Mytilus edulis: one gene and its partner. The protein of the gene in region 1 interacts with the protein of each later gene in a biochemical or structural test. Links are inferred from orthologs where the notes say so. Each region holds a gene or a part of one and is shown in the gene's direction. Other genes may lie near its edges. The genes, in order: tyrosine-protein phosphatase non-receptor type 11-like and fibroblast growth factor receptor substrate 2-like.

Region 1 (9,386 bases):
CAGTATTTACTGTGAAAACTGTGCTGAAAATGGTAATTTGATGGTAATAACTTTATTTTGACCTTGAGAGGTGAATGTTGATGAGATCCTTTAATGTTTCCTTGTTTGATGAATGACCTGTATGTATATCGATGCATAAAGGAGAATAGTACATTTGTAAATATCTATAGTCTAGACCATTGACTAATGACCACAAAATTACTCCTTAGTCATGAACCCAACCAGATTTTGCCCTTTTTTTCTTCTTTTTTCAGTTTTCTAAGTTGTTACCAAAGAAGGAGTGTCTGAAGGACAGGTTATTTATCACACTTTCATATTTCATGTACATTGATGTACTACATAAACAGTACATATTTAATAAGTCACAGTATTTTGGAAATTAATTGCAAGTTTGAATGTCTTGTTGTTAACCCATGGCCAGTTCAGCTAAGTCTGCCATTTTAGAAACATTGAATGGATGCTGTTGTATTTGATAAATAATGACTGTTCAAATCAGGATATCAATATTATGTGAACCACTTCAGATACAGAAAATCTGACAGAAGCAGAAAATTACAGAATGTTGACACATATACATGTATGTACATTTTTGTAAGTGTACTGACTGTTCTTGTACAATGTACACAAAATATGTCGAACTACATTTCATGAGTTATTGCCCTTGGATGAATATTTTTCCTCTATTCTGCTTTGATCAAGCACTAATACTATATAAGTTAAGTGATTGACATGATTGAGATGAACTTAGAACAGAAAAAAAGTGATCAGTAATACAAGATTCTCACTAAGGCGAGTCTATGAGTCCTGGACTCATGAAAATCTGTCTGGACTCATCATTTTCAAAACTGCTGAGTCCAAAGATGCATCAAGATTGATATATTTTGTATAAACTGAACACACAAATCATCATTTAATAGCAAAAGTTTAAAAGAAATCTGAATTTGATGTAAATTCATTGCTCTATTGGGTAATGGAGACTTAAATGATGAATTATCTTGCAATGAAATATCTTGTTCTTACTGTTGGACTCGCCACAGCCAAACATGACGAGTCCCCGGACTCGCCATCTAAATTCCTTAGTGAGAACACTGGTACTAATAAAAGAAAAAAAAGATATTTTCTTGTCATGAATCATATTTAGTCTACATACAATGTTAGGGATGCACACAAACCTAGCAGAATAACATGACTAGTTCCTAAGGGACGACATCAAAGAATCAACATAGGATAAACAACTTAAATCAAATAGAGTTGGAGGGGGGTGGGGTTGCAAGCTGCAAGTTTTAATTGACATCGATTTTACATGTATCCATATTGGTCATGATCAATTTTTCCCAAATTAAGAAAAGAGGGGAAGGGGTCTTTAAAAAAAAATATGCTACATTGAACTTTTGATGTTATTGTTTTGCTCTTGAAGCATTTAAAGTAAAAAAATGAATAGCTGTCGAAATCCCATTTACAGGCTTTGACCTATAATGGTTTACTTAAATTATAAATTGTTACTTGGATGGAGAGTTGTCTCATTGGCACTGACATACCACATATTTCTATATCTATTATCTATTAAGGGAGGATAAGTTAACACACTAACTTCCTTATGATACATGTTATATACTACATTGTACAATGTTATATGGACATATATTTGAGATGCTGTGGATTCATTATTATTTGCGGAATTCCAATTGTGGATAATAGTGTCAGAACCACAAATTTTAATTTTTGACATCAGTGGTGGATCCAGAGTGGGGTTCTGGGGGTTGGAACCCCCTCTTTTTTTAGGTCGAACAATGCATTTGAATGGGGACATATAGTTGGAACCCCCCCTTTATCCTGGGTTGGGAACCCCCCTTTTTAAAATGGCTGGATCCGCCCCTGGACATAGTACAGTTTTTCTAAAGACGTGTATCAAATATGTGTATGCAGATTTTGGCTCAACAAGTCATGCAAGTCAAACATTTTTTTTAATGTGTATCCTTGATTTATATATAGATAAATAATCATTGAGTCATTTACCAAGATATAGATTGCTTTCTTTCATTCTTTGACACAGATATATATGTAAACATTGTACTTGCTTTTTAAATCCTATAGGTTTGAAATAATCAATAAAATTTGAGTTTGTATACCTTATCATGCTTGTAGTCTTCCCTGTGAGAAACTTCCTTCTAAATAAATTTACCACTTTATTGTTATTCCAAAGGTTAAATCTGTATTCACTTTACTTTTTAGGAAGAAAAATCAATTATTTTTCTGTAATATCATACATAACAGAGCAAGCTTATCTTTTAAATCTTTTATCTTTTATAGTTTGAACAAATTTGAATTGTATATATTTATATATTTGATGCACAGTTACTTCCTTAAAGCACAGGTTTAAATCATTTCGAAAGAAATAATTAAATATACTTGTATGTATCGACAAAATTTATGAAAGTGGTCAAACTCTTCCTTTGTACAGTTTTCAACCCACTCCCCTCAAACTTCACTGCAAGATTGCACATCTCATATTTAAGTTATACAGTATATGGATCTGCTATTATGGAATTGTTTTAGGAACTTTTTGATATTTTTTTCAAACTAAGTCAACTTTAAGCAATGATATGAAAGAGTGTCCAAGTTTAACATCTCCTGCTTTTCTCAACTTCTCATACAGATTTCAACCCTTAGACTTCTCAGAAAGATTGTACACATCCATGACATCATGCTGCTTTTGCACATGTTCAAGTTGTACACTTACTATGTACTTATTAGGCCATAAAAAAGAATATGTTTGTTTGCCCTAACCCTACCTACCCAGAAAATATCTGCCTAGTCAAAATCTTTTATTAGATATAGGAAGATGTGGTATGCGTGCCAATGAGACAACTCTCCATCCAATTCTAATATGACGTTCTTCTTAAGCTTTGGGTACAAAGCCATGTTCTAATTCAAATAGAACATGGGCTGCACGTGATTGACGTCACAATTGAAATTGCAACATCAGGTGAATTTTGAAAAACGCCAGAGATCAAAATGGACATTTTTGTTGGTGTTGCTTGCTAGGAAATTAAATAAAAACATTCTAAAAGTAAGTTTAAATGTTTCTGTTCTTTTTTCATTGAGAAACTGCTGATTTTCTATAACGTTTTTGGTTCATGAAATGAAAATGGCGACATTTCGAGCGTCTACTATAGGTTCTCTTCGAAGTGAAAAAGTTCAAATATTCCTATATCGCTAACACTTGGTATTAAGATATTAACAAATATAATGCCTACCCATGTTAAAATGAGCATAGAGCATGGCAGGATAGAATTATTTCTTAAATAACAATCCACAAAAGTAAACCATTATAGGTCAATGTTCAGCCTTCAACACGGAGCCTTGGCTCACACTGAACAACAAGCTATAAAGGGCCCCAAAATTACTAGTGTAAAACCATTCAAACGGGAAAACCAACGGTCTGATCTATATAAAAAACAAGAAACACTTATAAATAACATAAACAAACGACAACTTACTGTACATCAGATTCCTGACTAAGGACAGGTGCAAACATTAACATTAATGGTACCAAACCTTCTCCCTTTTTCTGAAACAATAGTACAAATGTATAACATCACAACATAGAAAAACACGATAAAATATCAATTGGAAGGCTTAACTCAATCAAAAAATGTAAATCAACCCACCATGAACGAATAAATCTGATCTGCGATACCTGAATGCAACCACACAAATTATTAGGGACAATTACATTCAAGGCCAAAAAAGCAAACAAACAAGTCCAAACAAAGCCATGGCAAGACATCCCCAAAATATTTAACAACCCTTAGAAAATAATCACTCTTGAAAAAAAACCAGTTTCATAATATACACAGGTAAATGAAAAATAACTTTGGATATTGCCTTGATTTGAAAAAGTGTTTTTTTTAATAAGATCGTCATGACTGAAAAAAATCTGACACTTCAATTTCTCTTTGTCGAAATAAAAAAAAAAAAGGCCGACCTTCCCAATGTCTCAACCTTTCGGTAGGGTTTGGGCAAACCAAAATATTTTTAAGTGTGGCCTTATGGAATTGTTTTAAAAAAATTTTTAAATTTAAGGACTCGGGGGAACCAAGGAGGTTTAACTAACATACGTCCTTGGGGGAACTTAGATACTTTCAAGAAAATTTACAACCTTCATGTAATTGAAGAGTTAGATAATGCTCTATATACAGATATATGTTATATAAGATTCTAAAAAGAGCATTTATAGCTGTAAAATTTATATTCACTAATTTGACTCAAATTCTTATATTTGATTTATAGCATGTACTAAAAGGTATATATTCAAATTACAAAAAAGTCTTAGATATAAAACAATTGAGAATGCACAGATCATTAAAACATTGTATACATGTATCAGCAATTCAAGTGTTTTTAAGACTTTGCTTGATGTCATCTAACTAACCATTGAGATGACCTCTGAAGACTGAAGATTGTCTAATAACTAGATATGAACATAAGTATAAATAGATAGCGAGCACGTGCAATTAGATTTGTCTAGGTCAGTTATATTTTAGTATGGAAAAAAATGTCAACCATTTGTTTTTTACCAATGCAAAAATAGTATTTTGTGAATAGAATCAGTCCACCAAGTAGCTTGCTCTTGTTTCACTTTCTCTATTTACAAAAATGATTTAAGGGGTGAAATTGAAAGTCACATGAATATGAAATCCATGAGCTTTAATTATTGAGTTGCAATGTTTTAGTGCTTATTTTGATGAAACTTACTCCATAATGTTTGTATCTGTTAGTTTTTTTGGGGGGTTCAAGATGGAAAGTATATCCATGTATTTGTTTCCTTATTCATCCATTTTTTCACATCATATGATATAAATCATGTAAATGATAAATGATAGATGCCCAATTATAATGATAACAAATTAACACTTTGAAGATAATAAACTTTGCATATTAAGAGGTGTAAAATTGTAATGTAGTCATGAAGAGATTTAAATCCTCCCAGTTTGTATAATATTGTCCTAGCTTATTGAACTGTGATTTTATAAAGTTGTACAATGTACTTATGTATACATACATTTACTTCCTGTTAAAATGGTTTAGATGCATATTTAAAAAGATTGTGGGTTTTGTTTATTACAAGTTGTGAAATTAGATTTGTTGTTGTTAATAGATTTGGATAAAACTTGTAAGAGTGTAATGCATTTTGACAAAGCTTACCTGGATTTTGTTACATACATAATTATATATCTACATAAATTTAGATACTAACTTACCTTGAAATTACTTATATGCTGACTGTGTTAAATTTATTCTGTTGTGTATTGGCCACGGTACATGTGCATTCGTGTAACAGGACTTATCTATTTATTCATCCATCCTTACTTTCTGTTTGCCTAGATTGTTAAAGATTAAACTTCAGCATTAAGAATTTCATGTAGTACTTACCATGTTTACAGGTAGTGAAATGTGCATTTAATGGATAGACTGGCTTTTCATGTAATGAATAGAGTCTGAGGCAGAAAAGTTTTTTTGTAAAATAGTGGAAATCTTAAGCGTTGACAGTCAATTGATACATGTACATATCTTTGAAATTCTAGACAGGAATGACAAGAAATGACAATATTATAACTGTAAAAGTGAAAGATATCAAAATGAGAATATAACGACTATGCAAATATTGATATATTGTTACCTGATTTTCTTACCATGAAAAGACCAGGAAATAAAATGTTTCATGCCTGGTTTGCCAGCTTTATCTTTGTATCGAACATATAATCTTCAATTCAATCAAACTTCAAGTGAACTTTGTCTACAAGTTTTTATAAATACAATTTTTTTCAAAAGGGGAAATAAGTCATAATGATCGTGAAGTGTTTGGCTATAAGCAAGTTTCCTCTTTATCAATAATCAAAGGAAATGAGCGAGATTACTGGAAAACAACATCTCTAAAAACTTAAAGTTTGTTACAAGTTGACAGAGTTAACATGTCAGCCGGTGGCATGGTAGTAGATAGGATTACTGATGAAGCTAAAGGCCGGATATCAAGAATTATCCAACAAAGAAGGTAGGTCTGTTATAATAACTCTTAAAAGACAAGTGTGAATTGTTTAGACAAGTGACTCATTCACACTTTACATAAAACTTTACTTTTTACTTATAAACAGTAAAGTTTTCTTTTTTAAATATGTACATATCCAGCCCAGCAAAAAAAGATATATAAAAAGGGTACATGTTATCATTTGGTTTCTCTTTACCGACCGTGCAAGGGCTGTATAGCCAGTCAAGGTCGTTAAACACTTCCATTTGTTGTTGTTTGGTTTCTCTGTTTTATCGTTCCTAATTAGGTATGGGTTTCTCTCACTAATTTTTTTCCAGTTATTTAGAAGTTTTAAAGAGGTATAGGTTTCTCTTTTATCAGTCACTTGGTGTTTAATAAAAGAGGTACAATAGTGTCCATAATAGGTTTCTCTGTAATATCTGTCATTTAGATGTTTAAAAGGGGTATGCATTCCTTTGTTTTAACATTAATTTAGGTGTTTAAAAGAGGTATGGGTTTCTCTGTTTTATCAGTTATTTTGGTGTTTAAAAGAGGTATAGGTTTCTCTGTTTTATCAGTTATTTTGGTGTTTAAAAGAGGTATGGGTTTCTCTGTTTTATCAGTTATTTTGGTGTTTAAAATAGGTATGGGTTTCTCTGTTTTATCAGTTATTTTGGTGTTTAAAAGAGGTATGGGTTTCTCTCACTAAGTTTTCTCAGTCATGTAGAAGTTTTAAAGAAGATGTGGGTTCCTCTGTTTTATCTGTCATTTACATGTAGGTGTTTAAAAAGGTATGGGTTTCCCTGTTTCATCATTCATTTAAGTGTTTGAACTGTTATTTAGGTGTTTAAATTCATTTTGGTGTTTAAAAAAGATATGGGTTTCTCTGTTTTATCGGTCATTTAGCTATAGGTGTTTAAGCTGTTATTAGGTGTTTAAATTCATTTAGGTGTTTAAAAGAGGTATGGGGTTCTCTGTCTCTGTTTTTCCCCAGTCATTTAGGTGTTTAAAAGAGGTATGGTTTTCTCTGTTTTATCAGTCAGTTAGGTGTTTGAACTGCTATTAGGTGTTTAAAAGAGGTATGGGGTTCTCTGTCTCTGTTTTTCCCCAGTAATTTAGGTGTTTAAAGAGGTATGGGTTTCTCTCACTAAGTTTTCTCAGTCATGTAGAAGTTTTAAAGAAGATGTGGGTTCCTCTGTTTTATCTGTCATTTACATGTAGGTGTTTAAAAAGGTATGGGTTTCCCTGTTTCATCATTCATTTAACATGTTTAAGTGTTTGAACTGTTATTTAGGTGTTTAAATTCATTTTGGTGTTTAAAAAAGATATGGGTTTCTCTGTTTTATCGGTCATTTAGCTATAGGTGTTTAAGCTGTTATTAGGTGTTTAAATTCATTTAGGTGTTTAAAAGAGGTATGGGGTTCTCTGTCTCTGTTTTTCCCCAGTCATTTAGGTGTTTAAAAGAGGTATGGTTTTCTCTGTTTTATCAGTCAGTTAGGTGTTTGAACTGCTATTAGGTGTTTAAAAGAGGTATGGGGTTCTCTGTCTCTGTTTTTCCCCAGTCATTTAGGTGTTTAAAAGAGGTATGGTTTTCTCTGTTTTATCAGTCAGTTAGGTGTTTGAACTGCTATTAGGTGTTTAAAAGAGGTATGGGGTTCTCTGTCTCTGTTTTTCCCCAGTAATTTAGGTGTTTAAAGAGGTATGGGTTTTTACTGTTTTATCATGCCTTTAGGTGTTTAAAAGAGTTGTCATGGTTGTGGGTTTCTTTGTTTCATCTGTCTTTAGTGTTTAAAAGATATTGGTTTCTCTGTTTTTTTAGTCATTTAGATATTTAAAAGCTGTATGGTTTTTCTCTGTTTTTTTAGTCATTTAGGTATTTAAAAGCTGTATGGTTTTTCTCTGTTTTTTTAGTCATTTAGGTATTTAAAAGCTGTATGGTTTTTCTCTGTTTTTTTAGTCATTTAGGTATTTGAAAGCTGGATGGTTTTTCTCTGTTTTTTTAGTCATTTAGGTATTTAAAAGCTGTATGGTTTTTCTCTGTTTTTTTTAGTCATTTAGGTATTTAAAAGCTGTATGGTTTTTCTCTGTTTTTTTTAGTCATTTAGGTATTTAAAAGAGTTATGTGTTTCTCCTTTTTATCAGGCATTTGTGTGTTTTGAAGAGGTATGGGTTTTTTCTTTTTTATCAATCATCTAACCTATATAGTATAATACATGTAATAGCTCATTTAATTGAGGGATTCAAGTTCTTGGTTCTTTGTTTAAAGAATTTATGGTTTTCCTGTTGAAGGCTGGTGGTTGACACTTTTGTTACTCCTGCTTTTTTCCACCAACTACCTGGCCATCATTATAGCAAAGTTAGTTGATAGTTGTTTGAAACACCAACAAACTGACAATAAAAGTGAAGGAAGTAAACTGTTTGTCATCAAAGATGGCTGTCATTGTGGAACAAAATAAAGGAATATCATTAGTTAAGTTTTAAAGAAAACAAGCTGGTTTTCAATCCTAAATTATTGGCCTTATTAATTTTCAAATTAGGTCAAGAAAAGTGGATATTAAGTGGTAATCCCTAAAGAGGGAAGCAAACCGTTGAGTTGCACTTGTTGACAAGAAGATTAAAAGTTTACTTATCATTAAGTGGACCAATCACTTGACGTATGATAAGGAAAAACTTCTAAAAAAAGAAAGTAATTAACTCAAGTTCCAGTCCCCACACATCCTCTTAAAAGTTTTTGCAGATAAAAAAAAAGGCATCATCAAAATTCACTCAATGCTGGTTTTCATAAATGTTGGAAGTTATTCCCTTCTTATACAGTTATATAACTATTTTGAATGCAAAATAAAAATAAGTTTAAAAATTCCTCCAATTGTGGGAACTTGCCAAATCTATTATGTCCACTCAGGGTGGGTTTTGGGGGGAAATGCATACATCTCGCATCATACCGGTAATGACATTAATCATACAGTTAGAATTCAGAGTTTTTAAACAATTTAATACCATTTCCATGTACAATGTATTTATGCCAATGTCTAAAAGGAAGATATTCTTGCATAAACATGTACAATATATTAAGACCCCCTGCCTGTACAACAGCTACTTTGTATTGACATTTATATATGCTATACTGGTGAAATTATTTGTTATCTACATTTTATATTTATTTACAGCCCTAGGTAAATCAGCTTTTGACATTAGTATACCTTTTATTGATATAAGTCTGATAAGGAACAGGAAGTAAATTACCCTTTTTTTAATTTATGCAATGAATACAGATTATAAATATACTGCCAGTAGAATTACTGGCCCAATCTCAAGAGGTCTACTTTGTAAATGGTCTGTCAGAAATTTTTTTGATTTG
Region 2 (8,801 bases), on another chromosome or scaffold:
CAACACGACAACATGTGGATCAACCTCTGTTTATCCACCTGTGGCACCTAAGATAAACCCGGGTATTGGTTGGATTTGTGTGCGCAGTCTTTGGTTTTCTACATTGTGTTTTGTAACTGTTTCTTGTCTTTTTGATCTTTTTCGAGGTTTTGGGAGGGATTTATTTGGGGGCGGGGGTGTATGGCGTTGCCAGTTAGCATTCAGCTTTGAGTTTGAATGACCCTTTGGTATATTTCGCCTCTACTTTCAAGATTCTGTAAGCTTTGTCGTTGACTGAATGATAATAAGAAACAATAAATGAAGTTGCCAAGGTACTGTCTAAAACTGATAATTCAAATGTTTTCAGAAACATGCATATGTCGAATTAATTCTAACGTAATTTCGAAGTATTACCAATGGATTGATGTTGCTGATGGTGAGATGCAAGCTCTCTAAAAGACTTTCGTTTAAGCGAACTTAGGCTAAGGTTTACAGTCTCCTTGTGTCTTGTAACTCCTTTGTATTAGTTAATCACAAGATAAAATGTTTACCTACCTTGCCAAATGGTTTTTCTGCTTTCCTCAATGCTGCTTTTATTCCAAGACCAGCGGCAACACCAGCTTCAGCAATCAAGTTATGCCCACATGCATGTCCGATCTCTGGTAACGCATCATATTCACAAATCACGGCAATGTTAGGTCCATTTTCTGTGGATCCTAGTTCAGCTTTAAATCCAGTCTCCATCGCAAATTTTTGTTGAACATTAAAACCTTTACATTCAAGAAAATTGGTTAGTATTTCGTGCGCATGATGTTCCTCAAAGTTCAGTTCTGGATTTCGCCATATATCAATGCTCAGTTTTTCCAATTCTTCTGACGCCTCATCAATTGCTTGAAATATTGACTGTTTCAACAAATCCATTTTATCAATACAGCGAGAGAACACCAACACAAATGCAGAGTATCATATATATTTTACTTTTGATAGAATTGAAGTTGAAAAATATTTATATGACCCACTTATATTTTAGGACATGTATAAATTTATCTGAAGTCAATGATATAACACGTACGATTTATGATAAAGCCTTGAAATTTACCTCACCGAGCCATTTCATTGTAGTTGAGAACAAGATTTCGTCTGTAGATTTTATCCGAATTTATATTGATGTCCATTACTTTTTTCAAACGTCATTTTACCAGAAGTGATATATTTTGATACAATATACATCTTCAGTCCGATTTTTGGAAACAATAATGTACTATTGTGCTCCCTAGTTACATCAAGGCTGAACTGTGACAATTTCCATTGGTGTACGGTACTAGCACAAACATTATCAGTAAGTTACAGTGGGTCCAAAACACAGCAGCATGTTTAAATACACGAAAAAATAAATTTGACTCAATTACGCCTGTTCTTATATCTTTACACTGGCTATTCATACATTACCGTTGCCAATATAAACTTCTTTTATATTGTAAAAAGCGCAGCATGGCAATGCTCCTAGTTACCTTCAAGATTTAATTACGACATACAAACCCAGTAATCCCTCAGGTCGGAAAATATAAAATAGACGTCCGAACGAAAAGCTACGATGAGAGGCGTTTTGACAAGGCTGCACCTACACTATGGAACAATTTTTCATTGTCCTTGTGGAGTGTACATTCTTTAGATGTTTTTAAAAAGTAACTCAAGACTCACTTATTTCGAACTGCTTTTAAGGTTTTATTGTAGAATTTATATAATTAGTTTTAGACTGTTTTGTATATTTTAAGGTATGTATATGTTGTGTACAAGTTGTAATGTTGTACAAATTATAATTTGTACAAAATTTTTGTACAAGTTATCAGAGTTTCATGAACCGCTTTACACAAATGGATGATGCAAGCACACAGTCTTTTGTTTCGCATATGTCTGTCATATTTCCACAACTACATTTTTATTCCTTTTATTTTTTTTTAGTGTCTTTTTTAAATGCTTGTTTGATTCTTTTAAGTCAGTGCTTTGTAATTTATGTTTTATGTATTTTTGTATTTTATTTATTTTCAAATGTGAAGCGCTTAGAGTAATTGTTGTTACTATATAATGCGCTCTATAAATGTTGTATTTATTATTGATATACTAACATAAAAAAAACATATATATACCTGGAATTGTGATTTTAAAAAGAATGGTGAAAACAGTATTCTATCGAATATTAAAAGACATTAAACTTCAAAAGAATAACATTTTACATAGAAGCAGCAGAAGCATTATTTTTGGTTATTTTAAATAATTCAAAAGAATGTAAAGTGTTTTTTCTCAATTGCAAGGTTATGTTGTAATGTCAATATGGTATCGAAATGTTAAACATAAGTTCGGATTCTCAAAAACAGATGTTTAGTGTCTATTCGTCTTGCATATTTCTTTTCGCACGTTTATTTTCCCCGTTCAATTATGAGAAATATACTTGATATTGTCGACAACCGACAATCTGGTTAACAGAAAAAGCAAAATGACCCATTCTTTCATATTTTTTAAATGGTGGTATTAATTTTGGACGGGCAAGGTCGGATCCTTCGGGACTCCGGGATCGAGTGTTTTTAAGGGCACACGATTCAGTTTTGATCCCATATCTAAATTTTGCTGACAATTTGCATATAGGCTATTTTTGGCCTGATTAAATCAATTAATATGTAATAAAAAATATATGTGCGCGATACCAAATCAGATATCTCGCAATTTCTACATATTTTAGCACACTGGTACATTTTTGTACTTTCAATCGAGTTTCATTGGAATGTGCAATAAGAAATAGGGGTTACCAAATTTTTTCTTTTGATTTTAAGAAGAAAACGTCAATTTTGGCGACAAATTTACTTATTTATATATGCTAGTTTTAGTCTTTCTCCGTATATAATAACATATAAAAATTTCCAATTGATGGCTATGTTATTTTATACGGAGAAAGACTAAAACTAGCATAAAATCCAGGATTGTATACTGAATCCATGAATGTATGGAAAAACATATGTCGACATCCTTGTTTTTTACGGTAAACAAATATGTTTAGAATTTGACAGAAAAAGTGCGACGTTTTTGAATAACGTTACTTTAATGCCTCGATCACACGTACATTTAATTAGAATTAGCTAATTCGCATTATCCAATTCGCATTAGAAATATGTTCACTAATACGAATCAGTAAACTTGCATTAAACAGTGGTATAGACACCCAGTCTAAATTGTAATTCGAATTAAATTATTTATTAATTATGGACTTTTGACAATACGTTATATATGATATTCCAATATGACGTGCTTCTTTCGCTTTATGAATAAACCCATGCTCTAAAATCCAATAGTCTTTTTTTGCACATGCGTTTATTGACTACTGCAGAATAATGAATTTTATCAAAATGGCATGCATTTGATATATTTCATTAACTTAAAACACTTCCAAACTCTTGAATGAAGCATATCATTGTTGTTACTAATTCATTTATTATGACTGTAATTGTGTTGCATTCCGAAATTGACATATTTGACCTATGCTGTTCATACTGGCCGTTCATACTGGCTGTTCAAAAACTCCTCCCTCTGAAAAACCACAGTGCCAGCTGTTTGCTTCTTTACAAACAAAAAAGGGAGATTCACGGAAGAGCCTACACAATCACTTTACCCTTATACACATCGGCCATAGAAATTACCTGAATTGTCCTAATCATGTAGTCCGAATCGAAATAATTGATGCAAGCTATACTATATTGTAGTTTTAACATGGGTAGGCATTATATCCGTGTTATTTTAGCCCTCACTATCGCTCGGGCAAAAATAATCAAGAATATAATGCCTACCCATGTTAAAACTACAATAAAGTATAGCTTGCATCAATTATTTCTTAAATATTGACCGAGGACGAGGACGAAGCTTATAACATACAAAATTTCTGAATACAGCTAAGTCCTCGGTTAAAATGATCAGATATAAGCACACATAAGCATCAGAGTAACTAAAGATGTGTCAGAAGCATGTTTAAACTGTCACCGTCAGAGATTTGTCACGAATGATTGATGGATTAGTCTGTGATACGTGATTTTTTTCTCAGTGGGTTTGAAATCATTTTCTAATAAGCAAGGAGCCAATTCCTGATTTTTTTCAATGTTCTCGATAATTTGTTCCCCACAAAAATGACTAGTAAGTTTACAGTAACTAAAATTTGACATAACAAAGAATATAAAAAAACGATTGGTTTTCAAAGAAGGTTCACTGATGTTTTCCATTCCGCAACAGTAGTATATCCATCAGTGGCGGATCCAGAAATTTACATAAGTGGGGGCCCACTGACTGACCTGAAGAGGGGGCCCGCTCCAGTCACACTTCAATGATTCCCTATATAAGCAACCAAATTTTTTCCCAAAAAGGGGGGGCGAGCCCCCTGCGCCCCCCCCCCTAAATCCGCCTCTGTCCATTTCATAAATGTGTTTAATATGCATTTTATATTTTAGTTTGAAGTTAATGGTGACAACTAACAACCACACTTCATCACCCCATGTAATATACCATTAAAATTACCGGAACACATTTTTTGTCATGAAACAATTGAAATAGCCTGTATATTCTCATAAAATAATTAATTTATTGATAAGTCTACTTGCAAAGAAGAAATTATGTATTTAAGGACTTTTTAATTAGAATGATCTAAATTGACCAAAGCACCATTATTTTTTAAAATCACCTCATCAAAATTTACATTTAAATTTGACGATATTGCCTGAATCCTTCTTAATTCTTATAAAAAAATGCGTGTAATGCTTCTTCAACTTCCACTTATAGACAATAGTACTCGTAGTGCTTTGATTGTAAGGGGTTTTGTAAAATTTAACACGGATTCAAATCGGATTGATGAAAGGTCAAGGTTAATTTAATCAAACGGAAGTTATTGACATTCTGATTTAAATGGGCATGTGTTATAAGATTTGAACCGCTCACCTGCATTATAATTAAGTGAAAATGATATAGTTTTAATTGCAGGTAAGCTCCCATTAACATATTTTAAAAATAGAGATACGTCACAGTGTGTGACAAACCAGGGAATCTTAAAAATGAAGTCTACCAAATGCAACAGCTGATCATGACAGTGGTAGTGCTCAGCACTATAATTTCGCAAGCCCGTATAACATATAGCATTTCGTTGTCAGTAGATGAATGAAGATTTTTCCCTCGTTGAAGCTTAGAATATGTGAGTAGTAGAAATATTCAGCTTGGCAACTGCTTCCGTTATTTTGTAAATTAATGTTTTAACCAGGAAAGATGATCATGAGGGTATGGCCTATGAAACTATGTCATGCTACATGTACATGTATGTGTTGTAGACCTGGAGATCAGGGCCGTAACTAGGGTTCTAATTCAGGGGAGGCAGGAATTTGGGGCCGCTGACTGAGTGAGGCCCCCAAGAGAGGGGGTGGGGGGTGGTAAAATGGCTAAAAATGACCAGTTTTCCTTCGATTTCCTTACTCTAAGAGACATCAGTATTGCTTGAAGTTAGAAACCATTTTAAAGCAAAGACAAGCTGAGATTGTTGTTTGGGGTGAGCCAAGGCTCCTTCTTAAATGCTGTTATTTGGCCTATAATTATTTACTTTAAATACATTGTAACCATGGATTTTTTTCTCAATATGGCTATAAATGACCCGTTTTTCTTCGATTTCCTTACTTTAAGAAATATCAGTAATGCTGGATCCTGGAAGCAATTTTTATGCAAACAATTATTACCTGTATTTAAAGATATTTTTATTAGAAATCGAACTGGTAAGTTAAAAAAAAACATATAAAGCAACTAAGATCATGGAACGCAAGATAATTTTTTTATCGAGGACCTTGAATTTCAATATTGTTGAAAGCTGAACAGACATGTATATAACTAAAAACAGGGACTTTAAATACAGTCAAGTATATACTTAGTATAGAAAGTCCCTGTTACAACGAATGGGGGTGAACTACATTTACTAAGGCATTAACCATAATGTTCTCGTATGATCGGGAGAAGCGGTTAAAACAGCTGATTCAGCCGGTAATTTGGTGTAGAAAATTCAAGGAGGCAGTTGCCTCCCCTGCCTCATAGGTAGTTACGGCCCTGGAGATATAAAGGTAGTCGTGTACGTCTAACTAGTTGATTTAGGGAAGATCTTCTTTGTCTCAATTGGTTAGAGTGCTGCCTTTAGATCCCTTGATTGAGGGTTTGAATCCTGCTGGTACCATCCATGGATTTTTCATGGCAATGGTGCTACGAGCATCTGCTAATGATATAAACCATGTATATAGAATATTGCCTGGCAGATCGATGTTAGATATGGTCATGAAGTTTGACCAGGTCATAGAATGACAGTTACAGGTGTAGGGTGACATGCAGAGAACTGGCCAGAGGGTTTCCGAGGAGAAGTCCCAGGGTTGTACAGTAGTTGCTCAGATGTGGATGGTAAGCAGCTCAATTCCTTAAAATAAATACCATACCCGTAATTTTTTCACAAAAATATTTTTTTTTATTTACCATAAAATTCACAAAATCATATATTTGATCATAAGTAGAAAAAAAACAATACTTGCAATATGGTGACCTATAGTTGTTAATTTCTGTGTCATTTGGCCTTTTGCAGAGAGTTGTCTCATTGGCAATCAGACCTTATGATGGCTTATCTTCTTCTTTTTATTGATTGCATTTGAATACACTTTTTTTAACTTAAAAAAAAACCCAAACAGAATACAAATCCAATGAGTGTACAGGCCTATCAGATGGTGCCTCATGATTAGAGTCTGATGAGACTAGCATTGATGGAAACTAGAACCTAATTCCTGTGATATGACTAGTTTAGCAGTTGTACTTGACTCATATTTTTGAAAAGTATTTAAAAAAAAATACATCAAATTCCGTTATATTGTTTAAATTCGTTTTGCTCCTTTAATCAACTAAACATGTAAAAAGGTTATTTTTAATAGAAATTTTTGGACAAGTAACGATTTCATTCGGACAAGTAAATTTTGGTATGTACTTGTCCTACAGGACAAGTTGAAAAAAAGTTATTGTAGAGGCCTGCATAATGGAAATACAGTTTTATAGATCTTTATACAGTAAAACCTGTATAAACCGGCCGGCTACGGGACTATGAAAAAGGGCCGGTTTGGACGGTGAGCCGGTTTATTCAGGTTTCCGTTTTGACCGGAAGTTACTGACTTGTGACGTCCGATATTTTGCATGTAAAAGTTCTCTCTGATTGTAAATTATATCTCATAAATTAAAATACTTCACTTCGTTTTTCATTGTTTTCATTTGCATCATAATGCTCGCTTTTTTTTGGATTGTCAGACAAGAGTTTCCATTTACTTCCATGATCATTAATTTAAAATGTTGGAATGGCCGATTAAAAAGCCAGAATATCATCAAACGTAATATTCATCACTATCGAAACGTTGTCGTACAGCGTACAATACCCATTGATTGTTGTCATCCGGGTGTTTTTCATTATCAAGGTCATTTGTTTAGGGGTTCATAACAGGGAATCCGGGACTTCGAAATTTCTTACTCCTCGATTTAAATTTGTTTATCCAAGTTACAACGTAATTTCACTCCGAGATATATTCGTTGTGTCTTCTTTTCGTTTAATTGATCATTTATAATGTTTTAATAAATAATACAGCTCACTACTGTACGATTGTAAGTTCACAGTTTAACACCTGACTAATTGATTACTTGAAAAGCCATATTGTATAAACAAATATGTTTTGATTGTATATCGATCATTGAAATTAATTAGACAAACCGGTTTTGACAGGTAATAATTAATGTTATTAACAGTATTGGAACTTCATAATTAGTCCGGAATTCGGAATACACAGGGTCCGGTTTACAAAGGGTATTTTAACAAAGACTTTAAAGGAGAAAAATTGGGACTTTCATTTTCGGCCGGAATGGACAGGAAACCGGTTTATTCAGGGTCCGGTTTAGTCAGGTTTGACTGTATATATAAAGGTAAAGTAGATGTTGCCATGGATAGAAAATAAGTGCAGTCCTCGACAATAACGCTTGTCCGATTGTCCGGTACCAGAGGTAAAAAAGGTCGGACAAGTAAAAGCTATACCAAGCTTTTCCGATGGGACAAGTAGAATCATTCTGCAGAAAATAAATTTTAATCCAACTTTGATGAACAAAGTATAATTATTAACAAAAAAACAAGAAAAGAAGATTTGTTTGACATCTTTCCTTTTTAAACTTAAACTAATTATACCCCCGCTTTATTATACCCTCGCTTTAAAAAAGGGGGGGTATACTGTTTTACCTCTGTCTGTCCATCCGTTTGTCAGTCAGTCTGTCCCATGAAACTTTCGTCACATTTTTCTCAGGAACTACACATCCACCCTTTCTGTAATTTGGTATCAACATTTATATATGTCAGCCATACCGTGTGATGCGTTTTCAGATTCATTACTTGACAACTTCCTGTTAACCGAACACTTGTCTGATTTTACACATGATAGCCAAGTTGAAAATTTTCGTCACATTTTTCTCAGGAACTACAATACAAGGATTTCTGAAATTTGGTTTCAGGATTTATATAAGTCAGCTATACCGTGTGATGCGTTTTCAGATTCATCACTTGGCAACTTCCTGTTTACCGAACACTTGTATGATTTTACACATGATAGCCAAGTTGAAAATTTTCGTCACATTTTTCTCAGGAACTACAATACAAGGATTTCTGAAATTTGGTTTCAGGATTTTTATAAGTCAGCTATACCGTGTGATGCGTTTTCAGATTCCTCACTCGACAACTTCCTGTTTACCGAACA

Evidence for each region.
Region 2: the proteins of tyrosine-protein phosphatase non-receptor type 11-like (region 1) and fibroblast growth factor receptor substrate 2-like interact in a test that uses a peptide from one of them, tested with the Homo sapiens proteins (2 studies listed by BioGRID, with this or other methods). The link is inferred for Mytilus edulis from reciprocal best matches to the Homo sapiens genes PTPN11 and FRS2.

The regions. Positions count from the first base shown.
Region 1 is NC_092356.1:58,021,666-58,031,051, reverse strand, and holds the start of tyrosine-protein phosphatase non-receptor type 11-like, read left to right. Parts: upstream 1-5,828; 5' UTR 5,829-5,975; coding exon 5,976-6,055; intron 6,056-9,386. UniProt on the Homo sapiens protein: Acts downstream of various receptor and cytoplasmic protein tyrosine kinases to participate in the signal transduction from the cell surface to the nucleus. Positively regulates MAPK signal transduction pathway. Dephosphorylates GAB1, ARHGAP35 and EGFR.
Region 2 is NC_092353.1:43,621,276-43,630,076, reverse strand, and holds the start of fibroblast growth factor receptor substrate 2-like, read left to right. Parts: upstream 1-4,865; 5' UTR 4,866-4,992; exon of another isoform or gene 4,993-5,200; intron 5,201-8,801. Other genes in the region: xaa-Arg dipeptidase-like, read right to left, coding at 535-900. UniProt on the Homo sapiens protein: Adapter protein that links activated FGR and NGF receptors to downstream signaling pathways.